7 linked regions of the Sus scrofa genome follow. The protein of the gene in region 4 purifies or fractionates together with the protein of the main gene of each other region. This does not show direct contact. Links are inferred from orthologs where the notes say so. Each region holds a gene or a part of one and is shown on either strand. Other genes may lie near its edges.

Region 1 (3,815 bases), on a different chromosome or scaffold from region 4:
GCTGAATACAGCAGGGATTCTCTCCTGACATGTGAAGGATTAGGAACTGAAACAAAGGAACCTGACCAAGTGGTGCAGGTTCTGAGCAGGACAGCCGGCCAGGAACGCACTGCAGATTTCTACAGCTGTGTGCCTGTGCCACCACGTCAAGTTTTATATTGCCTCTACTTAGAACCTGACTATAGGAAGATGCTTAAGTTCAGTCCCCATCTTTAACCGCTCTCTGTGGCCCTGAGCTAATGTTTTTTGCCCACACAGGTCAGGTACAGTAGAAGAAAAGTTTCATGTCCTTCCGGCAGTAGGGGTAAGAATGTTGCTGAGAGAATGTGGGTAGGTGGGGGTAGAAGTGGCACAGTAGCTAGCCAGAGAGAGGATGGGCCTGCCATGCTCCTCACCTTCCAGGAAACTGGAGCTAATTCCTCCTCCTGGTACCCAACAACTGATAGTTCACTAGGGGAATGACAGGCAGTTTTTTAGAGGAAGCCTTTTAAAATTGTAAATCAGACACATTAATTATAATTTTAATATAACAAATGTTATTAGAAGCAGCAATTCAAAACGATAAATCTTTTCAAAGGTGCACAGGGTTATGATAAGGTCAGTTGGCAGTAATGCAGCTATTATCAGGTATGAACAAAATGCTGGGGTGTGGTGGGGTCAGGGTGACCTTGCCAGGCCTTATGCAGACCTCCACGTGGGGAAGACACTGTCTTCCTCCTTCTCTTCAAGCCCAGAGCCTCTGAAGCCTGCTTCAACAAGCTGTGCTCATCCTACACTTCCTCAGAAGCCTGGAAAGCAGGCCTGGGAGGTTGCTGTGCTGTTGAGCCAGGCAGGAGGCCACTGGGTGGATCTGATCCCACACCCCAGCTGGGCTGGGGGCTAGCTTCTCAGCTCCCTTCCACTTGGCTCCAGATGGGGGGCTTCAGTGGCAGCAGCTGGGGGGCTGAGAAGGGAGAGAACTGGGCCCAATCAGCTTATCCCTGCCTGGACCATGCTGGGGAGCAGAGGGAAGTGGGGGGGCTGTGTAGAGGAAGTGAGGTCCCAGTTGAAAGGCACTGTTTGAGCTGAGGTTTGAGGCAAGGGGCACCTGAGCTATTTCAGGGACCCCTTGGATGCTCAGAGATGGGGGGGGGGTCAGCCAAATAATGGAGAAAAAAAAAAAAAAAGCTCCAGGCCTGTTCCCACCCCTTGTTCATCCACCTTCACCTTGCAGCTGGCAGCCTCCAGAACCCAGCCAAGCTGGTCCCCATCTGGCACATCCTCCCCTAGTCAAGGCACTTCTTTCCATTTTCAAATCAATTGAATCAGTTTCTAATACCTCTGGAAGCAGCAAAAAATCAGGGGTCTCCTCCCCCTCCCAGTTTTGGTCTTCCTACACATGGGTCTGAGTTTTAATGTCAGTTCTAAGAACTGTTTATACTCCTACTAACAAAGACTTCCCTTTGAGGGGACTGAGTGACTCAAGCCCTTAAAAAAAAAATCCTAACCTGCCCCCAAAAATGATTGTCAGTTTCAGGGCGGGGCAGGGGAATAAGGAAGAGGGTAAGAGTCCCCTGTGCTTCCCTCTAGGGTCAAAGCTGGTTCACGGGCAGGAGCCAGACTTTCACATTTAGTTATAGCACATGGCCCTAGGAGAGGGCCAAAGGAAAACCAGGGGCAGGAGCCAGGCTGGCACTCAAAGGAATGTGGGGTTATGTGTGTGGTGTGTATGCACCTGGAGGTGAAAACACACACCTGGTTGGAAGTTGGTGTGTGTGTTGCTGGGGTCTGGGGGTTGGAGGCAGAGGAGACAGTCTCAGGTGTAGCAGGACAAGCTCCCTTTCATTCTACTTCCTCTCAGCCCTCAGGTTTGCAAGCTCAGGGCCAGCCTCACGTAACAAGGGATGTAGCAGGAGGGGGGAGAACTTTTGTGGATCTCGGAAGCTGACAACCACAGCCTTCGTTTTTAAGTCTTAATAACGGGGCTCTGGTGCTGGTGCCTCCTGATCACTCAGAACCTGAGGTCTCAGAGTCTCTGCCACACCGCCTCCAGAGGCCTCCCACCCTCACCCCCTCTTCCGCAGGGCAGAGGAGGGACAGGAAAATGGGAAATGGGCTCCTCGGGGCCTCCACTTACCCATCTTCACCCAGCCTTTCTTAGATTTCCGGCGTGTGTGGTCCCTGGGATGGGTCAGGTGTGAAGGACATCCAGTGGAGGGTTGGGTGTATAGACACAACACACCCAAAAGGGGAAAGAGAGGTAAAGGGACACACTGGGGACAAGGACTCAGGCCTCAACAGGCCACAGAGCCAGCAGGACACTAAATCAGAGGAACAGGTAACAGTCTGAGGAAGTGTGTGTAGACACCAAGAAGTAGCCAGCGAGACCTCAGACGCAGGCAGAGGGGGGTGAGCCAGAGGTGGCCAAGAGCAGGAGGGGCACAGCCCGGGCCTGGCAGGGAGGCAGGCAGGCGGGGCTTTGGCCAGGCACTTGCAGCTCTGCCCTGCTTCCCTCCCTCACCCCAGCCTGGAGAGAACTAGGGAGCCTGGGGCTTCCACTGTCTCTCCTTTGGTTTCCAGGGTTCCTGGCATCCCCTGGGGCTGGTCAGTAAGGGGTGGTCCCTTCCCACTCCACCAGGTACTGAACCTTGCCCTCAGGCGTGACCCTGCGAGCCAACACCTGGTACTTCTCCCCACAGGCTAACCGCCCAGCCGCGCCAAAATAGTTGGTGATGGATGACTTGAGGTGGGACAAGGATGAGTCATCTTCACTGATGCTCTCGAACGTGTGGCTGTCGATGCCCTCGTCTGGCCGCTCAGGGCCCGAGGCCCCCTCTGCACTGCTGTCCGAGGGGCAGCATCCACCCAGCTCAGCCGCCCGCCGCTTTGCCCGCAGTGGCATGTATGCTTTGGCTGCCAGCTTCCTCTTGCGGCTGCCCACTGTCCGTCTGCATCAGAAGAGGAAGGGGGAGGAAGACAGGAGTGCAATGGGGTTCTCCTCACAAGTCCCTGTCCCTGGCCACAGATTATCTCACTGGATCCTCACAGCAGCCCTGAGGAGGCTCCCGAGGAGAAACCACCAGCTGGGGGGTGGCAGGGCTGGGTGCAGACCTAGGGGTGTCCACCTCCAAAACCATGTTCTCTTTGAGGAGCTTAGCATCCCACAAGTCCAGAGGCGTGGTTCTCTGCCGCTTGAAGCCATGCGGTGCAGAGGCCCTGCCTGCCCTCTCTGCCCCTCACCTGGACTCCTGTGTCACTAGAGGAGTCACAGGCGTGGCAACCTGGAATGGAGACAGATGTGTGTGTCTCCCCACAACCCCACAGGGACAGAAAGAGGCAGAGGAGGAAGAGAAACACACAAGAAGAGGTATGCATTCACAGATGCTTAGAAACAGAGCCAAAGAGAAAGGGAAATGTAGAGGCAACAGCAGAGACACTTAGAGATAGTTGGAGACAAGACCCTTCAGTAGGCATACTTTTCATCCTACTTTTGCCAGGGCCTCAAGTATCCTACAATACAGGTAAAGGAGCCTCCATCTAGAACTTGTCTGTGTGCTTTGTGCCACCATCCTCCCCATGCTGCCTACGACTACTTATTGCCAAGCAGGCTGTACATACCCTTAGCTAGATCCCCCAGGGATTTCTGGCCCCTCTCCCAGACCCTACACTTTGCAGGATGCCCTCTTCCCTCTATCAGGGTCAGAGGACCTATAGCCAAAGGCACAGACATTGCAAAATCATGGCAAGCAGAGGCCAAGAACCTCAGAATGAAATATCTGAAATTGCCCAGCAAGAAACCACATAACCTGCAAGCAGGCAAAGAGGAGTGGCCTGAA
Region 2 (3,500 bases), on a different chromosome or scaffold from region 4:
TCTGTCCTTCCGTGTTTTAACTGAATTTTTTTTTTTTTTTTTTGGTCATCTTAAGGCCGCACCTGCAGCATATGGAGGTTCCCAGGCTAGGAATCTAAGTGGAGCTACAGCTGCTGGCCCTACACCATAGCCACAGCAACGCCAGATCCGAGCTGTGTCTACACCACAGCTCATGGCAATGCCAGATCCTTAACCCACTGAGTGAGGCCAGGGATCGAACTCAATTCCTTATGGATACTAGTCGGGTTCGTTAACTGCTGAGGCATGACTGGAACTCCTTAACTGAATTTTATAGAAGGATATTCATATTGATATAGAAGGTATGGTAGAAGAAAACCTTGCAAGGTTGTTCATTAAAAATTTACTTGAAAGCTCACTAATTTTCTGTTCTAAAGCTTTACTTATGGTTAAATGTACTAGTGTCTGATAAAACTATTATGCTATGCTCTCTTTGGTATATCATTGAATATATGCAACTTTTATTTTTATTGTTAGGAAGACTCATCGACCAACAGTCTAACAAGATGGCAAAAGAAGAAATGCTGCAAATGATACGTCATGGAGCCACCCATGTTTTTGCTTCTAAAGAAAGTGAGCTGACAGATGAAGACATTACAACTCTTCTGGAAAGAGGGGAAAGGAAGGTTAGTTAAAACGGCAGTTCATGATGGATTGCTTTAAAATTAACACACTTCAGCATGATTATTGTATTGTGTTATTTCAAATGCATGTTTCAAACTGCATATTTCAAGTGACTCATGCTCTTCCTAAGAATTTGTGGATTTATGTACAAGGGTAATTACTTTTTTTTAGTTTAATTTTTGGTGAGAAAGACTAAGAACCAGAGTTTAAAAATGAGTGACCTTATATCTGACACTTTTAATGTTGGTATTTATTCTTCTTAAAAGCCAGATAAATTTTGTGTTTGATCACATGTATCAGGACTTCACTTGTTTGTTTGTTTGTTTGTTTTTCTTTTTAGGGCTGTACCTGTGGCATATGGAAGTTCCCAGGCTAGGGGTCGAATTGGAGCTGTAGCTGCCAGCCTACGCCACAGCCACAGCAATGCCAGATCTGTGTTGCATCTGAGAGTTACAACATATATTACAGTCCCTTAACCTACTGAGTAAGGCCAGGGATTGAACCCAAACCTCATGGATGCTAGTTGGGGGTTCCTTTTTTTTTTTTTTTTTGTCAGAGCTGTACCCATGGCATATGGAAATTCTCAGGTGTTGAATTGGAGCTATAGCTGCCGGCATATGCCACAGCCGCAACGCACAATGCTGGATCTAAGCTGCATCTGTGACCTCCACTGCAGCTTATGGCAATGCTAGATCCTTAACCCACAGAGTAGGGCCAGGGATTGAACCTGCATCCTCACGGGTACTAGTTAAGTTCATTACCACTGAGCCACAATGGGAGCTCCACTAGTTGGGTTCTTAACCCAATGAGCCACAATAGGTAATCCAGGACTGCATTTCTATGACTTTTTTTTTTCATGGGATTAGAAATTATCTGCTGATACATTGTGTTAACTGAAAACCTTTTGTGAACATTTTGTGAATTATTTGTTAAAGTATATTTTGTATTTGTTAAAGTATGTTTGTATTTGTTAAAGCATTATTTGTTAAAGTATAATAAGCTGTTTTAGAATATTACAGTTTTGTGATGAATTTACCTTTTTCACGAATTATGGATAATTTCAAACTAAGCAAAAGTAGACAGAATAGTGTGATGAACCTCCATGTACTTAATACTATTTCCAACAAACATCAACCAGCCCTGCTCCATTTACACCCCCAGTTCCATGGATTTCTAAAAAATAACTTTCGAAACACAATCATTAAGGGACTCTCCCACCTGAAAAGTTCCAGTAATTCTTTAACATCAAATTCCAGTTGGTATTCAGATTTCCAGTTATCTCAGAAGTAGCTTGCTTTTAAAAAAATAGGGCTATATGTAGGGTCCATACATTGCCATTGGTGGATACGTTATCTGTATCTTTTTAATTTATTTTTGATTTTTGATTTTTTTTAGGGCTTCACTTGCTGCATATGGAAATTCCCAGGCCAGGGGTTGAATTGGAGCTGCAGCTGCTGGCCTACGCCATAGCCACAGCAATACTGGATCGGAGCCGTGTCTGCGACCTATGCTGCAGCTTGCAGCAATGCCAGATCCTTAACCTGCTGAGTGAGATTAGGGATCAAACCTGCTTCCTTGTGGATACTAGTCAGGTTCTTAACCCGCCTGAGCCACAGGAACTCCTGTATCTTTTTTAACCTGTAGGTTCTTCGTCCGTTTATATATTATTTCCCTTGTAATTTATTTGGTGAAGGAACTAGATTGTTTGCCTTCCGAGTTGCTCACAGTTTGGATTTTGCTCCTTCCATCCCCATGGGGTATTTTATCATGTATGTCACTTATTTGCTGTATTTTCTGTAAATTGGTTGAATTTTTACTTTCAGACTATTTTTTGTTTCTGATGATATATATATATATATATATAAATATATTCATATGTACCACATCCATATATTTACAGTATATCCCCAGGACTTATTTATTTTATAACTATTCACCTGCACCCCACTCCTGGCAACCAACCGATCTGTTCTCTATATCTGTGAGTTTGGTTTTCTTTTTTTCTTTTTAGATTCCAAATATTAGTGAGATCATATGGTATTTCTCTTCCTCTAACTTATTTAGCATAACCACCTCAAGGTCCATCCATGTTGTCACAGATGGCAGGATTTCCTTCCCTCTTACGGCTGAGTGGTATTTCACTGTATACATTATACACCACGTTTTCTCTATCCATTCACTCATCGATGGATGCTTAGGTTGTTTCCATGTCTTGGCTGTTGTAAATAATGCTGCAACAAACGTGGGGGTGCGGGTATATTTTGGGAGTTCGTGTCTTGATTTCCTTCAGATTAATACCCAGGAGTGGAATTGCTGCCTCATACAGTAGCTTTATTTTTAATTTTTTAAGGAACCCCCATACTGTTTTCCAATCCCACCGAATGTATAAGGATTTCCTTTTCTACAAATCCTCACCAACACTTATTATTTCTTGCCTTTTTGATAATAGCTATTCTAACAGGTCGAGGTGATATCTCATTGTGGCTTTGATTTGCATTTCCCATGATTAGTGACATTGAGCACTTTTTCATGTATCTGCGATCATATGTTGAATTTTGAGCAATCTTGTGTGTGTTTCATGTTAGCATGCAATATGTGTTGTTTAATCCAAGTGTGCCTTTATTTTAGCATTAGCCATTTGTCCCATTAAAATTATGCCACAGAAATTATAATATGGCTATATCCTCAATAATAAAAGATTTTAAAGAAAGCCTAAGTGAGAACACTTCAGAAGAATCATTTAAGTATTTAGAATACTTGGGGCTGGAGTTGCTGCTGTGGTGCAGTGGGTTAAGGATCAGGCATTGCCGTAGCTGTGGTGTAGGTAGCAGCTACGGCTTGGATTCGATCCTTGGCCT
Region 3 (4,120 bases), on a different chromosome or scaffold from region 4:
AAACACAGACACACCTCCCTAATTCTGCCCCTCCAGTCAGCCAGAAGAGTATCTCCTTTTTCACTCTTCCCAACCAGCTTTCCCACTTTCCTCAGGGGGGCTCCTTCAGTGAGAAGAGAGGTCAGGGAAAGTCCGACACAGAAGGGCTCATTTGTGATGACTCTACGAGCCCCAGCCTGGGACCCCAAACTGTTTCATGAATTAGCAGCAAAGGAGCCCATTTCAACCCAGCTCCGGTCTATTTCCAGACAGTGCTGCACAAGGCAAGTCGGCTTAGCCTGACAAATCTGGCTGCACTTATTTATAGCAGGGAGAGGTCCTGCAGAGGTATGTGTTGGCAGACACACTAACCAATGGCTTCTGCTACTATCACCAAGTGACAGGACTTTCGTGCAGAAGATTCAAGGAGGCAGACAACAAGCCAACGTGCCCACTACTCCCCCCTAAAAAGGCTGCTCTCAGGCACCTTCTCTGTGCTGTGGCCAGACACAACTCAGAGCTCACTGAACTGACCCGAGCAGTGCCTGGTGTCTCTTCAACAAGTCCGATTCTCTGGTTTCAACTGCATCTTGGGCAAGTGACATTCTCTGTGCTTCAGGGACAGTGAACAAAGTGGGGACAAAAATAGAGACCTGGAGATCCTCTGCCATAGAATGGCTTATTTCTCCCAGTGATGGTCTCTACAGTTGTTCCCTTTTATTCTGGAGTCACGTGTGGCCCTGATTGGGTTTCCTCTGGCCTCACTCCCAACAGGCCCGCAGCATACCTCTCCTCTCCGCGCTCCAGGCTCAGGCCCCAATCAGGGCTGGCAGAGAACTGCACCCAGTCCCAGCTCAGCCTCCAACCTTTTGTAGCTCCTTTTCCTCCTCAGAAGTCCTAGTTTCTTCACATGGGATGAAGTAAAAGGGTTATGACAACTTTAAAGGACTATTCACAGGTGAGGCGATAATCCCCACCAAAATAGCAGATTTCCAAACAGAGCTTCGCGGGACTACCTGCACACCTTCTTCCAGAGCCCAGGGCTGGTCCAGGAAAAGAAGTCCTCCACCCCAGTGGCAAAAACACAGCCCAGGGAGCTGGCCTGGCACATGCAGTTCTGGTAGTGCTAGCACAAGTGCCTGCTCAAGTCCAACACACAAAACTGTCCCCCTGCTTCCTACCTGCCCTGAAAGACTGCTTATCAGCACAGAATCGAAGACTCTTAGCCCAGGATAAAGTGAGGGGAGGGGGCAGCAGCTTTGCCACCTCAAATTTTTGAAGGAATTGTGTTTCAATCATCCATCCTGCTCTTTCTGCAGGAGCCCCAGCCAGTGACCAGGCAAGGGTCTCTAACGGAGCAGTCCCCACCACACGCATGGAATGACAGCAACTTCCCTCAGGTCCCCTTTACAACCTCCTTGGGCTCCTACCCCCCCCCCCAACTGTAAGCCCAAGGTCACCCAGTTAGCAAGTGGTGGAAACAAGATTGGGATTCATCTGATGCCAGGAATCCGTCTTCTCCACCCCCTGCATCCTGTCCCCCACCATGGCTTCCGTGGCCACGGGCTGTCGCAAAGCCCCCTCCACGGGGGGTGGGGACCTGGATGGAGAAGGACCCCCAGGGTCCCTCCAGAGCCCACGAATTTGTGGCCACAGCTTCTACTCACCGTCAGCCGGCTGCTGGAAGTTGACGTAGGCATAACCCAGGGAGCGGCGGGTGATCATATCGCGGCAGACCCGGATGGACAGCACAGGCCCCGCAGGACTGAACTTTTCGTACAGCATGGCCTCGGTGACGTCCGAGTGCAGGTCACCCACGTACAGGGAGGCCATGGGGTAGCTGCTGGCCGCAGCGTTCATCTCCCCAGCCCCCACCACCCCGAGCCCCGCCAGGAGGACTTCTTAGAGGGCCCGCTCAGGACAAAAGGGGCTCTGCTCCGAGCCGTGGCCCGCGCCGCGGCTCACAGGTGGCAGTGAAGCTCAGGGAAGCTGGAGTGGGCTCCAAGGGCCCAAGAAAGGAGTTCGGGGACGGCCCGGAGACTGCCAAACCGCAGACAAAAGGCTCTCAAAAACAATATGGCCCTCCCTGGGAGTTTGTAATTTTCAGCTGTCCTGGTCCGAAGCTCCCAATTTCAACCCAAGCAAAAAAATTAAAACGGGGAATCCCCTCCAAATTACAAAAATTCTTCTAGAGGCAACCCAATGGTGCCCACAGCGGCCTCCGGGACACACGTTTCTCTATAAATATAGGCCTCCGGCTCCAGGCGGTTTAAGATTACAGCAGCCCGGGGACGAGGGAAACCAAATATTTGTCGGTGCCGACTCGGCAAGCCCCGGGCGGCCGGAGCGCGCAGCCGCCTCCCACGCCGGGCCGGCGAAGGGCAGCGCGGACACGTGGTGCGCGGAGGCCGGGGCGCAGGGGGCGAGGGCGGCGGGCGCGGGGCTGCCACGCGGCGCGGCCGGGCGCGGGCGGAGGCGCGTGGACGCGGGCGCGCGGGCGGCTCACCACCTGACCGACGGACTGGGACCGACGGACGCCCAGGTGCGGCGGCGGGCAGGCCGGAAGCGCGCAAAAGTGACTTCCCCGCGGGTTCTCCGAGGAGGATTCGCTTTTTTTTCTTTCTTTCTTTCCTTTTTCTTTTTTTTTTTTTTTTTAAGGTTTTAAAGCGTTTTCGGGTTTTTTTTATCTTTTTCTCTTTTTTTCTTCAGGCTGCTAGGCCCGAAAGCGACGAAGGCTACGGCGACCCGGGGCGGAGAGAGGCGGCTGGGGGAGCCACCGCTCCATTTATACCCGCCCGCCCCGGGCGCTGCTGGTCGAAGGGCGCCTTGCGACCTGGGCGCAGTCGTGCCCGCCCACTCGGCCCGGGGGCCCGAGGCGGGGCGGCCACGCGAGAGCGTCCGGCTCGGCCGCGCGGCGCCACAGCGACCCCTGGCGCGCGGAGGACCGCCCCGCTGGGGCCTCCGCCGGACCCAAGGGTAGCTTTGCCTGCTGCTGGTGGAATCGGTAGAGTGTAAGCCACCCGCCTCTCCGGGACTAGAACACATGGATAGTGTGACCCACTCACATGCATCATGATTATAATCAATGTTTTGCCTAACTGTAAAATAAAGAAGACACAAAATAAATTATAGTCATGTAATAGGTGCTCCGCTATGTAAACAATTGGGCCCAAATCAAGAAGACTTTCTGAAGTTTTTAGAAAACTAGATCCTAAAGATGGAATCATCCCAAATAGGACAGCTACCAATGCAGTAGTAGCTGGTGATGGGATTCCCCAGAAAGATGAACAAATTTTGGGAGAGCTTCAATTAAACAAAATACAGTCATCCTTCTATTTACATGGTAGTGGTATCCCTGGAATTTAGTTCATGTTAAAATATGTTCTGGGGAGTGTCATTGTGGCTCAGTGGTAAGGAACCCCACCAGTATCAATGGGGATTCGGGTTCAGTCCCTGGCCTGCTCAATGAGTTAAGGATCCAACTGTGCTACAAGCTGCTGTCAGATGCAGCTCAGATCCTGTGTTGCTGTGGCTGTGTTATAGGCCGGCAGCTACAACTCCGTTTGGACCACTAGCTCGGGAACTTCCATATGCCACAGGTGTGGCCCTAAAAAGAAAAAAAAAAATGTCCTGGGAAGTTCCCTTATGGTGCAGTAGGTTAAGGATGAGACATTATGGCAGCTGTGGCGCCAATCACAACTGTGGCAGTTTAGATGCCTGGCCTGAGAATGTCCACATGCTGCCAGGGCGTGGCCAAAACAAAAGTTCTGTTTCTCTGTAAAAGTGAGTGAGGATCAGAGTTTCCGTTATGGCTCAGTGGTTAATGAATCTGACTAGGAATCATGAGGTTGAGGGTTCGATCCCTGGCCTTGCTCAGTGGGTTAAGGATCCGGTGTTGCCATGAGCTGTGGTGTAGGTCGCAGACGCAGCTCGGATCCTGTGTTGCTGTGGCTGTGGTATAGGCCGGCAGCTACAGCTCCAATTCGACCCATAGGATGGGAACCTCCATATGCCTCAGGAGTGACTCAAGAAATGGCAAAAAGATAAAAAAGAAAAAAAAAAGGAGTGAGGGTCTAGACTCTAAATTTTAAAAATATTTCTCCTAGAGTTCCCATGCAGCTCAGTGGAAAGGAATCTGACT
Region 4 (3,500 bases):
GATTTTGGTTTGTGTGGGAAATAACTTTCCTAGTTTAAATGGGATCAGTGCAAGTGAGATGTGATGACAGTGAGACTCATTAGTTGGATAGGAGCTTGAGTCTGAATAGGGCAACATATTAACCCCTGAATTTTCGTTTTATACCCCAGATGTACTTTTTGTCCCAGTTTTCCTTTTCCTTGTTTGTCTGAGGTACTGTTATCTTTATGTACTTTGCAGGTGTCCTAAATTTGATATGTAGGGCTTATTTGCAAATTTTCCCTTTTCTCGAACCCTTTTCTGCTTGCTCCTACTTGACAATTCCCTCTGTGTCTCATGGCCCTTCCTCAGTATCCCCTCCTCCCATAGATTGCAGGCCAGCTGTGGGCACCTCATGCTTTAAATAGTTGCCATGTCCTCCTGTCTTAGCCAGTCCATTCTGTCTATCAGAATTATCTTTCTAAAATTCTGTTTTTAACCAATTCCCCGTTTAAAGGCCTCTTAAGACTCAGATCTATCCTTGTTTTAAATTAATCTCCTTATTTAGATACAGACTTGAGAAACTTGTCTTTATCTATAATTATCTATAATGTCTTTTTAGTTCTTCATTGAAAATTCTCTCACCCAATGAACGTCAGCTTGCTGTCCCTGGTCTTCTTAAATACTGTGTTCTCTCTGAACTTTTCTATGATTGGCTCTTCTTTGCTAAGCTATTACCCTCTTTCTTCCCTGTTGTCTTCCAAACCTTGATATAAACTCATCTGTCATCTTTATTATATTACCACTAGCAGTTGTGATATTAATCTTGTTTATCTTAGTATTGAAATATTTTGTTGCTGTGGATTGTTTTATGAATAGGAGTAAATTCTTTTGACATAAACTTTATTTATTTATTTGCTTTTTAGGGCCACGCCTGTGGCATGTGGAAGTTTCCAGGCTAGGGGTCTAATCTGAGCTGTGTCTGAAACCTATACCATAGCTCACAGCAATGCTAGATCTTTAACTCACTGAGCAAGACCAGGGATCAAACCTGCAAACTCATGGATACTAGTCAGATTTGTTTCTGCTGAGCCACAACAGGAACTCCCTGACATAAACTCTAATGGACCATCAATACTTGGTTTTACATTTCTAGAATTTTATTATATTAAATGATTCTTATGAATAAGATCGTCAAGTGAAGTTTGGAGATCCTTACTTAATGTTAGCTTTTTTTTCTTTTTAAAAAAATTATTATTTTTGTCTTTTTACGGCTGCACCTGCGACATATGGACATTTCCAGGCCAGGAGTCGAGTCGGAGCCGCATCTGCGATCTACACCACAGCTCACGGCAATGCCAGATCCTTAACTCATTGAGTGAGGCCAGGGATCAAACCCATGTCCTCATGGATCCTACTCGAGTTCATTAACCCCTGAGCCACGATGGGAACTCCTAGAATTATTATTACTTTTATGGCCGCATCCACGCATATGGAAGTTCCCCGGCCAGGGATTGAATCCAAGCTGCATCTGTGCTTATGCCACATCTGCAGCAATGCCAGATCCCTTAAACCAATGTGCCAAGCAGGGGATTGAACCCAGGCCTCCGCAGGGACTTGGAGGGACTCGGATTCTTAACCCACTGCACCATAGTGGGAACTCCTTTTTTTTTTTTTTTTTTCTTTTTTTGTATGGTTATTTTTAGTTGATTTAGTTATGTTTCATTGATCCTAAGACAATTTTTTTTTTTTTTTGGCTTTTTTAGGGCCATATCTGTGGCATATGGAAGTTTCCAGGCTAGGGGTCAAATTGGAGCTGCAGCTGCCAGCCGCAGCCACAGCAGTGCCAGATCCCAGCCATGTTTGTGACCTCCACCACAGCTCACGGCAACGCTGGATCTTTAACCCACTGAGGCCAGGGATCGAACCCGCATCCTCATGGATATTTGTTGGGTTCTTAATTCCCTGAGCCACAATGGGAACTCCAGAGACACTTTTAAATAAAAATGTATCTAAGAATTGATGATGGGTCATATTGTAATTTGCAGCATTTTTTCATTTCTTAGAGGTACATAAAATAATGATTGTAATGATTGATGACATACTACATTAGGTAATACAATATTTTTTCTTAAAACTTTTTCACCTGTAAACAGTTTGTTTTCTCAGATATGCTTATTGATGAGGGGGGGCCTTTCATTTGTAGCTTTTAAAGTTTGTTGTCTATTTTTAGCTCTGAAGTACTGGGTACAGACATCTACTTATGAAAAAATGTTATTGTATTTTAGTTATATTACATTTTCCCTTAAAAATTTTTTGATACTTAAGATAAGCCTGCTGTTTAAATCTATTTTTTTTACTTTTAGGTAGAAGATGAAACTGTTTTACATAACATTCCTTATATGGGGGATGAAGTTTTAGACCAGGATGGGACTTTTATTGAAGAACTAATTAAAAACTATGATGGGAAAGTACATGGGGATAGAGGTGAGTATTGTGTTTATTCCCTTGGAAAAGGGGTCAAAGAATTGATATTTTGATTTTTTGGGGGAAATGTAGTTATGAAAAAGATTTTTTTTAATATTAAAATTGCTGGACTGTCCTGGGTTTGCCAGCCTAAGATTCCTTAGCAATAAAATTAATTAGGAATAGGGCTTTGTTTATGTGACATGCTCAAAAATACCTTCCTGACTAGGCACCTTGCAGGACCTGAAATTCTGCTAATAGAGTCACAGCTTCTGTAATTTAACTGAAGAACCCTGTTAAAGTGCCTGGCAGGAGGGTCAGATGTGTAACCTCCTCATCCGTTACCATCATGAGCAAATAGACAGCAAGGTCTGTCAAGATACATTGTTTGGAGAAAAAAGGCCATAGTTAGGTTCTAGAGAAATAGGCTGTTGTAGCAGGCTCTGAAAACTTGTGAAAATGAAAAGTGTTGTTAAATTCTACTTCTTACTTTGCCTCAATGCAGTCCTGAAAATGATCTTGCCCCTACACTTTAATATTAATGTTATAGTGCTAATTGGTAGGCTCCAGCTGTTTCTACCAAAGTAGAAAAGGAACATGAAAACCCTTGTATATTTCTGATACTTGACCTGATGAATTTCAGAATGTGGGTTTATAAATGATGAAATTTTTGTGGAGCTGGTGAATGCTCTTGGTCAATACAATGACGATGATGATGACGATGATGGAGATGATCCTGATGAAAGAGAAGAAAAGCAGAAAGATCTAGAGGAGAACCGAGAAGGTACGTCTATCTGTTAGGTTTGTGTGCAGCCATTAGAGCATTTTTCAAAAACCGTGGAACACAGATAAACCTTCCGTCCTTTTTTTAAAATTTTTTTGGTTAAATATCACCTCAGTGGTAGGATAATCAAAATTAGGATATTTTTTGTAGCATTTAATCCTGCACTTCTACATCCTTATTTCCCTTGGCTAGCGAAAGGACATAGGAGTTGTGGGTTTCCCTGGACAGTCATCATAATCATTATATATGCAATGTATTGATCATTTGATGATGTACAAGTAGTATGCTCATC
Region 5 (4,015 bases), on a different chromosome or scaffold from region 4:
CGGCCCCTCTGGTTCCCCACCCCGCCTCCACGCCGCGCTCAGGGTTTTCCTGGCGTTCCCCCTCCGCCGCCGGCTCGCCCCCTGAGGAGGGGGCTGGGCCGGGGCCTCGGCCGACCCGGGAGGAAGAAGGGGAGCAAAGAAAAACATGAGTCACAGCCGTGTGTCACTGGGCCGCGTTGCAATTCCCTGCCTCACGGGAGGTGTGGAAGGCCGCCTCGGGGATCAGGGGCGGGGAGGTGCGCCCGAGGAGCCCCCGGCCCGGCCTGCAGGGTGCGCCTCTGACAGCGCCCTTTCTTCTCCCACCGCCCTCCCCGCCATCTTCCCACTTTGGTTTCCTTCTCGTTCGTGCAACAAGTCTTTGTTGCGCCGGGCGGGCCAGGCGTGGCGGGTACCGCGTGCGTAGACCCAGTCCCTGCCCTCAAAGCGCTTCCACGCGACCACCGGCTCCCGCTATTTTAAAAATGAGTCACGGCGGAAGGAGCCAGGGCACCAAGTAGGACCGCTTGTCTCCCAAACACCATCCGGGTCACCTAAAGGAATGACTCCTTCAGGTTTGCCTGCAAACGAGCCAATCGTTTGCCTCGCTTTTAGGGCTGCACCTTGATTGTGGTTCACTCGGGCCCATTAAAAAATTTAAACTCTGGATTTCACAAGTTTCACGTGTCAATTTCACAAGGCCCCTATTTCACCAGCCAGCCAAACGCGGATTGGCCCCGAAATGCACAGGCTGACACCTGTCCGCCCAGGGGAAATCTAGGAGCCGCGTATCTGGGCGAAGGTGGCAGCGGGTAGGCCGCGGAATTCTCCAGCCTGCGCGATTCTCTCCACCCTTGCCACCCGCGCACGTCCACGCGCCCCTGGCCCACACGCCCGGCAGGCCCCTAGAGGTGACTCTCCCCGGGACACCGTTTCCACGAGTGAGGACGCCCTCCCCCGGCAATGGGCTCCTTGGTGATTCCTCTCAACAGCTCCCCACGTCTCCCGGCCCGGGTCCGTGAAGACTGGGCCGTGGCCTCGGGTTCGCAGCCCAGGCCTCCCGCGCGCCCGCCCCCAGACGCCCAGCACCGCACGCCCCTCCCCGCAGTCAGCACCCACCCGCGCGACGGCGGCTGGCTGGCGGCCGCCCTTTTAAATCTCCGGGCTCATTTGCATGGTCCCGCCCCCCTCAGTGACACGGCTGGCGCGGGCGGGCCCGTCCCCCCTGCCCCTGGGTCGCTCTTTTTAAGCTCCCCTGAGCCGGGGCTGCGCTCCTCTAATTGGGACTCCGAGTCCGGGCTATTTCTGGCCCTGGCGCGGCTCCAAGAAGGCGTGAGTTCGCGGCCCCTTCGGTGGCTTCTTTTTTTTTATATCTATCATTTAATTAAATTATTTATTTATTGAGGCCGCGCACGGGCCGTGCCTAGCTTCCTGCCCCTCGCCATCCTTCGGGGGAGGGGGAATATTTTTGTCCTCCTGCCTGGATGTGACATATAAATACCCCGCGGGGGCCTGGGCGGCGAGCACGCGGCGGCGGCGGCGGTCTCTTGAGCGCCTCTGCTCTCTCTCCCGGTTTCAGATCCGCATTTGCTACCAGCGGCGGCGGAGCCAGGCCGGTCCTCAGCGCCCAGCACCGTCGCTCCCGGCAGCCCGGAGCGCGCACCGCAGGCCGGCGGCCGAGCTCGCGGTGAGTCGTCCCCGGGGCCCGCGGCGGCGGCGGCGGAGGGGGGCGCCCGCGCCCCCGCTGCACGCCGCCCCTCCTGCGAGCCGCCCGGGGCTGCAGCGCGCGCCTCCGGCTTTATTCCCAGGCCGGGGCTGCGCGAGCCGCCGGCGGGGGAGGGCCGCGGGGGCGGGCGGCTGGGCCCGGCGGCGCGGGGCGGGCGCCCGCACCCCTTCCCCCGCGCCGCGGGCGCCCTGCGGGGGGCGGGGACCCGGGAAAGGCGCGCGGTGGGGGAGGGGGGGCGCGCGGCTGCGGCGAGCGCGAGTTCTGCACCCGGCAGAGCCCGGTGCACCTCGCGCGGCCGCCGCTCCCGCCCGAGCCCGAGCCGGGGCCCGGGATGTTGGGGGCGGGGAGAGGAACAGGCTGCGGCGCCGCAGGAGAGTGGGGGGCCGGGCGCCCCCCGCAGCCTTGGGAAGTTCTAGAAGTGAGGCGGATAGGCAGGAACCCCGCAATTCGGCCTAACTCCAGTTCGGCCTTACTCCGCAGATGAGGCCGAATCGTAGGGAAGGGGGGTTGGGGCTTCACCCCGACCCCACCTCTGGCCCGGCCCGCGCCTCTTCAGCCCCCAGGGCCCGGCCTGCCCTCCGCCCCCACAAACTGGTTTCTCTGCTTTGCTGGGCTCTGTTGGAACTAGTCCCTTTGACTCCCCGTTTCCATTTTTTTTTTTTCTGGGGCTTTTATTTTGCGGGGAGGGCGCAGAGGGTGGTGGCTTTCTTCCTCTCTGCGCGCGCCAGGTTTCCTGCCCCAAGGCGGGCTTGGGTGCCCCCTCTGGCAGGAAGTGGGGCCGGGTGCACCCGCGTGGCGGTGCATGCAGTCGGGGTGCACCGATTTCCCGCGCCTGCAAGAGCGGCCTGTGCCCCTCCCCCCGCGCGCGCTGGCCCCTCGTCCCGCCGGCCCATCTGCAACCGCCGGGCGCAGACACTTGCAGAGTCACCCTGGGCCAAGGTCTGGAGCAGGGGCCACAGGGACTTAGCCAGCCCCCCGAGGGGTGAGGAAAGCGGCGGGCTAGGAGTGTCGCTGGGAACCCATTCCATCCTGCTGGCCAACTTGCTCCGTGACCTTGGGCAACTCAGCAGCCCTCTCTGGGCTACTTTTTTGGGGAAAACAAGGTAGTTCCAGGCTGGTTTCCTAGGGTCATTCCTGCAGATGGCCCTGGCATTTGTGGAGCCCACATTGCCAGCACAGTGTGTAGGGAGGACAAGCTGGAGGCTGGAAAGGCCTTAATGTAAATCAGTAAGGATTTAAGGAAGGATCGAGGTTGGGCCCTAAACGTGGCTTCACCAAGCCAGGCCTCTCTGATGTTCAGAAACAGGTGGAAGAGACAGAGCATTTGTCGGTCTCACCAGAGAGGGCCTCAGGCCTTCCTTCAGTTTCCTGGAAGCCTCCATCTGGGGTGGGGGCGAGTGGATTAAAGGGTCCCCAGCAGCAAGAGGTGGGGGGAAGCACCAGATGATGCAAGAGCTTCCAGGGACACCCACCAGGATCCCCAGGCAGGCCGGCCCAGCCTTGCTGGGATTAGGGGCTGGCTTCGCCCAACTGGAACCCCCTCTGAGGGGGCCTTCAGCAGACCTCATGTGAGGTCAGCACTCATTTAGCTGATTAATTTTGATGTTTAGTTCTGAAGGGGGTCCTGTGGTGTAATATAAGATTCTAATCACTGCCTGTAATTACAGAGCAGGCCAAGCCACTAATGATGGAGCAGGGTAAATCACCAACCACCTTGTTTAAAAGGGTCTTCAAGTCTTGAAATATTATAAAATAGAATAATTACCAGACAAAGTCTCACCGTCTGGAGCATTTCGAATCTTGAGGATCTGGGCCTTGGGCCCTGTGAAAATCACGAGTTTGCAAAAACGGTTTTTCCTCTCATTGGGTTAAAATTGGAAATTGTCTGAATCTGAAAAGGGGGAAGAAGTCATTTTCAAATGTTGGCCTTCTCGTTTTGATTGGAGTGAAGATTTCCCTTGTTTAAGAACTTTTAACTTCTACTTGGTTTGACCTGCAGTCTGGAGAGGGAGTTGAGGCAGGTGCATTATCGTTCCCCCCGTTTGACAGATTGAAGGGTTTTCAGAAGTGGAGCCATTTGGGCCCACCCTTCGCCAAGGCCAGGAAGAGATTGGTTATCAAGGAGGTGTGGGACCATAGGCCTCCCTAAGACACATCTATCTGTAACTGGGGCTAACTGGGAGGATAGGGATGGGGGTTGGAGTCGGGAGGACCCTCACTGTCCTTTCTTAGCCTCTGGAAGAGACTCCCAAACCAAGGGAGATTTTAGGTAAACTCCGCTAGTAGAGCTGATTAAGCCTAAACAGGCCTCTA
Region 6 (4,041 bases), on a different chromosome or scaffold from region 4:
TCTATTTCAAAACTCTAAAACGACCGATGACAAAACAGAAAACTAGTCTTTTTGATATTCCAGGAACAAATGATAAATCTCACCAAACCAAGCCTTTAGGAGATAGTCCCTCTTCTCAAGACCATCTTCATCAAGGAAAGATGTCAGCTTCCCTTTAAATTGAGCTGCTCTCCCAAAGTTCAATTAACAAAAGAAAGTGTTAACAAGATTCAACACGTAAACAAAGAACGAGGCCAGCCTCCCTTAAAACAGAACACTTGAATATGAAATTCTCTCAGAAAGCTTCCAGTTCTCAGAAAGTTTTCTCCTACCCCCTCGGATAAAGATCCCACATTTGCCACTCAATAAGAAGCTCAGTAAAATAATTTCAATTCTGCAAAGCGAACAGGGTCAAAATTACTCAAGACAAACACATCTTCAGAGCCATCAAAGAAGTCATTTATACCATCAGGAAAGTCACAAAACCAAAACAAACAGCAAACCCATTGTAGAGAAAAACTCAGCTAGTGTTCTGACAACACAGAATCTATTTCAGGCTGCATAAAACATAACAAGCAAAATAAATCCAAGGTACAAGCAAAATGCCACTGCCTCCTCTTTTGTTTCAGGCACAATGTAACAAGGGCAGCCTGTCTGGGGCTCTGCTCCTGCTGATACAGTATTGCTGCTTAAACCTCCCTCCTCAAGGTCACAGCCAATTTCAGCTCTGGAATAAAAAGCAGATAGTGGCAGCGATGGTTTGGGTTATCACTGGCAGAAAAGCAGAGTGTAAAAGTTTATGAGCTCATCAGGATTGTTGTACCATTACATCAGAGGCAATTATAAATGGCCAAGAGCAGGAGATGGGGAGCCAATCAGATCACAGATAGGATGTCAACCTAAGACCAACTGTCTCCTGGCTTTGACAGAAGGATTTTACCTCCATAATTCAAATCCCAAACCAAAGCAATCTGCACTTACTACTCCAATCACTCAGCTGTTTACCAGCACTTCCAGGGAGAAGCCCAGGCCACTGGGCGGACAGAGACTAAGACAGGAGACGGCCCGGGCTGCCCTGGGTGAACCGCAGCCGGCCTCTAGCTGCCCCCAAGCAGGCCCCTGCCCAACCTCGAGGTCCCCCGAGCCCGAGGGGCCCCTCCTCGAAAGCACACTTAGGGGACGGCCCAGAGGAAGGTGGGGGGGGCGGGCAGAGAAGAGCAGCAGGTGAGCAAGAAACTGTTCACCCAACTCCCGAGCTCCTAGCACTGCCTACACCCTATCCTGACCCCCCAACACCCCCTCACCTCGGGCTGGGCCCTTTCCTGCACACTCTGCCCCGCACCCCCTTGAAGACCCCCGGAGCTGGAAGGGACCAGGGTAGAGGGAGAAGGGAAGCAGACACTTCTGGGAAAGCCCCACACAAAGGCTGAAGGGAGGGAAAGAGAGGAAGGCAGACAGGCAGCCATTTTAAGAGAGAAGAGCCAGACAATGGCAGCTCCCCAGCAGTGGGGGCCTCGGACTGGGGGTAACCCACGGCTCGGGCCTGCTCCCCGCAGCTGCCACCCACTCCCAGGACCCCGTTCGCCCCAGCCCCCTCCCCTCTCAGCCATGTACCTGCGGGGTCCGGGCGAGCGGCTGCCCCCCGCCGCCGCTGCTCCCAGGGCTCATGGGCGCGTGGTGGCTCCTTTGTTGGGCCCCTCCCGAGGCGGCCGCCACAGCCGCGGCAGCAGCAGCAGCCCCCCAGCACTGCGAGGCCATGTCCGCCGGGCCCTTGCCCGCGCCTCCGTCCTGGGGCCCGCCGCCGTAGTCGCCCCCAGGGTAGCCCTGGTAGCCCCGGGCCGAGCTGGGCGACGTGAGCAGTTGGTTGAGGGTGGGGGTGGCGGTGGGTTGGGGGGTTCCCCCTCCGGCCGCTGAGGGGCCGCCTCCCCCCATGGCCCCGAAGCGCTGCTGAGCGAAGGACGAAGACGACGAGGAGGCGGAGGCGCTGGAGGAGGGAGGCGGCTTGGAGCCGGCGGCCGCCGCCGCGCCGGAGCCCGGAGTGCCACCTCTCGGGGAGCTCAGCGCGTAGGCCTGGGGGGGCGGGGGGTAGGCGCTGCGGTTGGGGTAGTAGGAGTTGTACTGGTGGTTGGGGAAGCCGTGGTCGTGCGAGTTCTGCTGGGGCCCCGCGTAGGGCTCCAGGCCCCCGCCGCCGCCGCTCTGCAGCGCTGCCAGGCCAGGGCTTTGTTGTCCGCCATGTTGTTGGTGGAAGACGGCGGCCGCCGCGGCGGCGACGGCAGACGGGCTCCGGCCGTAGGGTTGCCCGAAGCCGTAGGCTGGGGGCGGCAAGGCGGCCGCCGCTGAGTGAGGAGGCGCCCCCACCCCATCGCTGCTGCCGCCACCGCCGCCGCCGGGCGGCTCCGTGAGGTTATTGTTCAGGGCGGGCCTAGGGCCCGCGTTCCCGTTCGAGTTCTTCAGGTCCGGCTCCGCACCGGGCCCGCCGCCGCCACCGCCGGCTCCGCCGCCGCCGCCGCCGCCACCCCCATTGCTCTCGGCCCCGTCCTGCAGCTCCTTTCCCAGTGGCTGCGGCGGCCCCACGGCGGGGCCCTCGCTTTCCTGCCCGGCGGCTGCCTTCATTTCCCCGCGCTCGGCCGCTGCCGCCGCCGCCTCGCCCCCCGCCTCCTCCCGCTGCTGCTGCTCCGCTTTCTTCAGCTCCGAGGGCGGCGGCGGCGGGTTGCCCAGGTTGCTGGCGGCGGCGGGGGCGACCTGCGCGGCCATGATCCCCGCTGTCTCGTCCGCGGAGAGACCCGGCCCTGTCTTCGTCTTCTCCCCCCTCCCACCCCGCCCCGGGGCCGAGTCCCCCGGGCTGCCCTCCCCACCCGCCCGGGCGGGCCTCGCGGGGCTCCGCTGCTGCGCTGCGCTCGCTCGCTCGCTCCTCTCCCCCCCGCCCCGCCGGCTCAGGCTCCGGGCTGGCGGCGGCGGAGGAGGAGGAGGCGGCGGCGGCGGCGGCCGAGGCGCCGGCGGCTCAGCTGCTCCCGGCTCTGTAGGCTCGGGACCCGGCTCTCCCGGCTCATTCCCCCCAAGCCCTTGCCTGGGAATGAGGGGGGCGGTGGAGGCTCCGCTCCCCAGGGCCTGGCCCCGCTGTGACTCTCCGCTTTCTGCTGCCGGAGAAAGGAGGAGGGAGGGAGGGGAGGGAGGGAGGCGAGGGGGAGGGGGGCGGGGAGGGAGGGAGCGGGGGGAGGGGGACCCGGGACGGGCGGGCTTGAGGGCGCGCGGCAGCAGCCCCGGCGCCGGGAGGCAGAGTCGGAGCGTGGGCCGGGCCGGGCGTCCTGCCTCCCCTCCCCGGCCTCGGCGCGGGCTGAGGCTGCTGCGCGGCAGCGGGCGAGCGAGCGGGCGGGCGGCCGGAGTGAGCGGCTAGAGCGCCCCACTCTCCTCCGAGTCCCCCTCACTCCGACACGAGGCTCAGCACTGCCATTTTACCCAGCGCCGTCGCGGCCTCCTGGCAAACCCGGAACGGAGCGCGGAGCGGGCGCAGGCCGTGGAACGGACTCGCTCCCTTCCCCTTACAAAGGAGGAGGGGAGAGAACCAGCCGCGGCGACGGCAGGCCCTCTGCCGCTTTCGCTCGGCAGCGCCGCCGCCGAAGCTTCGGGGAAAACCCGGCCCGGAGCTCACGCCTCTCCGGAGCCTGTGTCGCCTCCCTCCCGGCGTTCCTCCTTCTCCGGGTCGGTCCCTTCCAGGCCGCGCGGAGGTGAGCGGGCAGTGTGAACTTTACTCGCGGCTGCAAAATTGGCCTGAGCCCGAGACCGCGGCCGCCTCGGCCCGGGCCTGACCCCCTGGCAGCCAGCCTGGTCTCTTGGCTGCTACTTAGCACCTCTACAGCACTTTGCTTCTTCAAAGCCTTTTGCAAACCCGCTCCAAAGACCCAGCTGAGCCTTACATTTTTATCCCCTTTGCAACCTGCATGAAATGACAGATCACTGTTTCAGACGTTCAGTTTTCCCACTCCTCTGCCCTCATTAGCTGGTCCTCACAAGGCCCTGGGGGCATGAGGTCCATTATCCCCATTTTACAGAATCTTAAGACTT
Region 7 (3,086 bases), on a different chromosome or scaffold from region 4:
CCGAACCCGCAACCTCATGGTTCCTAGTCGGATTCGTTCACCACTGCGCCACGACGGGAACTCCCGGATCTTTTTTTTATATACATTTTATTTTTTTTATTTTTTATTTTTTTGTCCTTTTGCTATTTCTTTGGGTCGCTCCCGCAGCACATGGAGGTTCCCAGGCCAGGGGTCCAATCGGAGCTGTAGCCGCCAGCCTACGCCAGAGCCCCAGCAACGCGGGATCCGAGCCGCGTCTGCAACCTACACCACAGCTCACAGCAACGCCGGATCATTAACCCACGGAGCAAGGGCAGGGACCAAACCCGCAACCTCATGGTTCCTAGTCGGATTCGTTAACCACCGCGCCACGACGGGAACTCCAAATACATAGGATCTTAATACATAAAAAAATAAATATAAGGAAACACATCAAATGTTAACTGTTTTTAGGAGGTAGAATTGTGATTTTGATGCTTTATACATTCTGTATTTTCTAAATTGAGTTTTTATCATTTTTGTGTAAAAGTGAATCAGTAAGATAACTTAAAAAACTTGGACCACCAAAGAGGGATAAAAAAGCCAATGTAATGTTGAATTGGTGTTGAACACCAGTTCAGGTGTGAGGGAGCCATTCCTAAGGTTCTTCACAGGTTCTCAGAGGCCCGTCAGAATTAAGCCAAGTGAATTATCATTCCAATGCCCATCTCTTTATCCCTTGTCCAGCTCTTAGAACAAGCCCTGGTGATTGAGGAACAGCTGCGTCGGGCAGCTTACCTGAACATGTCAGAGGACCCCTCCCACCCTTCCATGGCCCTGAACACCCGCTTTGCTGAGGTGGAGTGTTTGGCGGAGAGTCATCAGCACCTGTCCAAGGAGTCAATGGCAGGAAACAAGCCAGCCAATGCGGTCCTGCACAAAGGTAGCCAGTGGCTCCCCTGCCTCCTGCTGACTTAGCCTCCTTCTTTCTCTGTCCCTCCCCAACACATTTGGGGAGCTTTGCCTTCCTCCTCAGGAAGCTAATATCTCACAGGCAATCAAGGACAGTAGTTCTTTGCCTCTTAACTTCTTGAATATACTCAGCTTTTTGGAGAGGTGGAGAGCAACCCAGAATAATACATAGTGTTATCTGGGCTACTTTAGAGGTAACTTCAGGTTATTTACGATCTTGTGCTTTCTAGACCCCCTTTCAACATCCTGTTTCTAATTAAAGGTAAGACATTGTGAGGGGGTGGAGGGTGAAATGAGGAAAAGGCAGCTGTTATAAAGGAAGAGGGAGACAGCTCCAAAAGTGGAGAGGAAAGAAATAGGAATAGCTATTTAAGAAGTGGCGGAGTTCCCTGGTGGCCTAGTGGTTAAAGATTTGGTGTTGTCACTGCTGTGGCATGGTTCTCTCCCTGGCCTGGAAGCTTTTGCATGCTGCAGGCACAGTCAAGAAAAAATAAAAGTGATGGAGATAGAGACAGGGATCAAGAGACAGAGGTAACTTTAAAACATAGAATCATGGACACTTGGAATTGGAATATGAGGAATAGGAATTTGAGCGTGGTGGAGCCAGGTCAGGTGACTGACAAGACAGCACTCCAGCACGTCACTTGATCATTGAGAAGTGATGGGAAAGCCGGTCCACATATTATAAGATGGGCCTAGGTCTTGACCACCACGGCTCACCGCCTTTTTTCCCCCCCATGCAGTTCTGAAACAGCTAGAAGAACTGCTGAGTGACATGAAAGCCGATGTGACTCGACTCCCAGCTACTATTGCCCGAATTCCCCCAGTTGCTGTGAGGCTACAGATGTCCGAGCGTAACATTCTCAGCCGCCTGGCAAACCGGGCACCTGAACCGACTCCACAGCAGGTATAGGACCATTTTCCTCTGGCCATCTGTTCCAGCAGAGCCACTCTGGAACTTGTAACGTTGCTGTCTGTCCCTGGCTTTACACATTGGGCAGGTGGGGCTGGTCCACCAGTGAGTTCCTTTGGGGTCAGGAGGGTTCCTGGGGTCTGACATTCTGACCCTCTTGGCTCTCTCTTTCTCTAGGTAGCCCAGCAGCAGTGAAGATCCAGATGGATGATACCACGTCCACCGCTGAGCAGTGACCTTCCTCACTTTCCCTTGCCCAGCTTCTCCCCTGGGGGCCTGAGAGACCCTCTCCTCCCTTCTGCCCCATCTTCCAAGCTGTAGAGGAACAGCCCCCAGTGCACTGGGGGAGGGGAGGGAGTGAGGGGCAGTGGTGCCCTTCCTGCTGGAGAGACATGCAGCAGTAGCGCCGGCGCCATCTGCAGGGAGCTGGCGGGCTGGCCTTTTGGGCCCTGGCTTCTCCCCACTGTAACGTCTGTTACACACAAACTGTTGTGGGTTCCCGCCAGGCTTGAAGAAAATGATCTGAATTTCTTCCTCCTTTTGGTTTTATTTTGTTGGTTTATTTTGTGTTTTCATTTCTCCTTTTTGGGGGGTATTCACAGTGGGCCGGGCCCCTGGGCGAGACACAGCTACCTCTGTTGGCATCTTTTTAATACCAGGAACCCAGCGGCTCCAGCCCCTGAGCGGCTAGAATGAAATAAAGTTGGAAAAAAAAAAAAAAAAAAAAAGGAAAAGAACCAAAAGCATAAAAAACCACAGCAAATTTCTTGACAAAAATTGAAAATAAAAGTTTCCTTGTATTTTAGTGCTCTGGTTCAGTGTGGGTGTAGGTGCAGGTGGGTGTGTCCGACGGGAGCCTTGGGACAGTGCAGCTGAAGACCAAGGGTTTCCTTGTGTCCTGAGACTCCACGAAATCTGGACTGTGCACCTACCCTCGTGCTCCGGCCGCCACCACCTGCACGCTGCGAGGAGCTCCGGAGCCCCCTGGGTTCACAGCCTAAGCCTGACTCCCAGCTTCGCGGCCGTCTCCAGGCTGTAGATGTCTGCTGTAGAGAATCAAAGGAGAATCTTCCTCGCAACATTGCGAAGACAAACCAGCGAAGTGCCGGAGCAGTTTTGAACAGCTGCTAAGCACCACCTTAGGGTTTATTTCAAGAAAGGCTGCTCTGGGTTTTCTGTTTGTGTGAAGTGAGAACACAAGATGCCGTCCTCCCGACCTCTCGTATGGGAACCAAGGCAGAGA

The links.
Region 1: the proteins of EZH2 (region 4) and PHF19 purify together in Homo sapiens (affinity purification with mass spectrometry; 10 studies listed by BioGRID and IntAct, counting the BioPlex papers as one, with this or other methods). This does not show direct contact. The link is inferred for Sus scrofa from reciprocal best matches to the Homo sapiens genes EZH2 and PHF19.
Region 2: the proteins of EZH2 (region 4) and SMARCA1 purify together in Homo sapiens (affinity purification with mass spectrometry, with the first as the bait; 3 studies listed by BioGRID). This does not show direct contact. The link is inferred for Sus scrofa from reciprocal best matches to the Homo sapiens genes EZH2 and SMARCA1.
Region 3: the proteins of EZH2 (region 4) and PABPC4 purify together in Homo sapiens (affinity purification with mass spectrometry, with the first as the bait; 3 studies listed by BioGRID). This does not show direct contact. The link is inferred for Sus scrofa from reciprocal best matches to the Homo sapiens genes EZH2 and PABPC4.
Region 5: the proteins of EZH2 (region 4) and HMGA1 purify together in Homo sapiens (affinity purification with mass spectrometry; 3 studies listed by BioGRID and IntAct, with this or other methods). This does not show direct contact. The link is inferred for Sus scrofa from reciprocal best matches to the Homo sapiens genes EZH2 and HMGA1.
Region 6: the proteins of EZH2 (region 4) and ARID1A purify together in Homo sapiens (affinity purification with mass spectrometry; 3 studies listed by BioGRID, with this or other methods). This does not show direct contact. The link is inferred for Sus scrofa from reciprocal best matches to the Homo sapiens genes EZH2 and ARID1A.
Region 7: the proteins of EZH2 (region 4) and CHD4 purify together in Homo sapiens (affinity purification with mass spectrometry; 5 studies listed by BioGRID, with this or other methods). This does not show direct contact. The link is inferred for Sus scrofa from reciprocal best matches to the Homo sapiens genes EZH2 and CHD4.

Annotation. Positions count from the first base shown.
Region 1 is NC_010443.5:260,898,962-260,902,776, forward strand, and holds the end of PHF19 (PHD finger protein 19), read right to left. Parts: intron 2,928-3,815; coding exon 2,585-2,927; 3' UTR 501-2,584; downstream 1-500.
Region 2 is NC_010461.5:106,077,927-106,081,426, reverse strand, and holds part of SMARCA1 (probable global transcription activator SNF2L1), read left to right. Parts: intron 1-495; coding exon 496-644; intron 645-3,500.
Region 3 is NC_010448.4:95,396,651-95,400,770, forward strand, and holds the start of PABPC4 (polyadenylate-binding protein 4), read right to left. Parts: upstream 2,801-4,120; 5' UTR 1,840-2,800; coding exon 1,647-1,839; intron 1-1,646.
Region 4 is NC_010451.4:109,426,516-109,430,015, forward strand, and holds part of EZH2 (histone-lysine N-methyltransferase EZH2), read left to right. Parts: intron 1-2,324; coding exon 2,325-2,445; intron 2,446-3,067; coding exon 3,068-3,208; intron 3,209-3,500. UniProt on the Homo sapiens protein: Polycomb group (PcG) protein. Catalytic subunit of the PRC2/EED-EZH2 complex, which methylates 'Lys-9' (H3K9me) and 'Lys-27' (H3K27me) of histone H3, leading to transcriptional repression of the affected target gene.
Region 5 is NC_010449.5:30,319,191-30,323,205, forward strand, and holds the start of HMGA1 (high mobility group protein HMG-I/HMG-Y), read left to right. Parts: upstream 1-1,215; 5' UTR 1,216-1,308; intron 1,309-1,555; 5' UTR 1,556-1,663; intron 1,664-4,015. UniProt on the Homo sapiens protein: HMG-I/Y bind preferentially to the minor groove of A+T rich regions in double-stranded DNA. It is suggested that these proteins could function in nucleosome phasing and in the 3'-end processing of mRNA transcripts.
Region 6 is NC_010448.4:84,048,488-84,052,528, reverse strand, and holds the start of ARID1A (AT-rich interactive domain-containing protein 1A), read right to left. Parts: upstream 2,801-4,041; 5' UTR 2,734-2,800; coding exon 1,594-2,733; intron 1-1,593. UniProt on the Homo sapiens protein: Involved in transcriptional activation and repression of select genes by chromatin remodeling (alteration of DNA-nucleosome topology).
Region 7 is NC_010447.5:64,102,627-64,105,712, forward strand, and holds the end of CHD4 (chromodomain-helicase-DNA-binding protein 4), read left to right. Parts: intron 1-705; coding exon 706-901; intron 902-1,673; coding exon 1,674-1,837; intron 1,838-2,020; coding exon 2,021-2,038; 3' UTR 2,039-2,586; downstream 2,587-3,086. UniProt on the Homo sapiens protein: ATP-dependent chromatin-remodeling factor that binds and distorts nucleosomal DNA. Acts as a component of the histone deacetylase NuRD complex which participates in the remodeling of chromatin.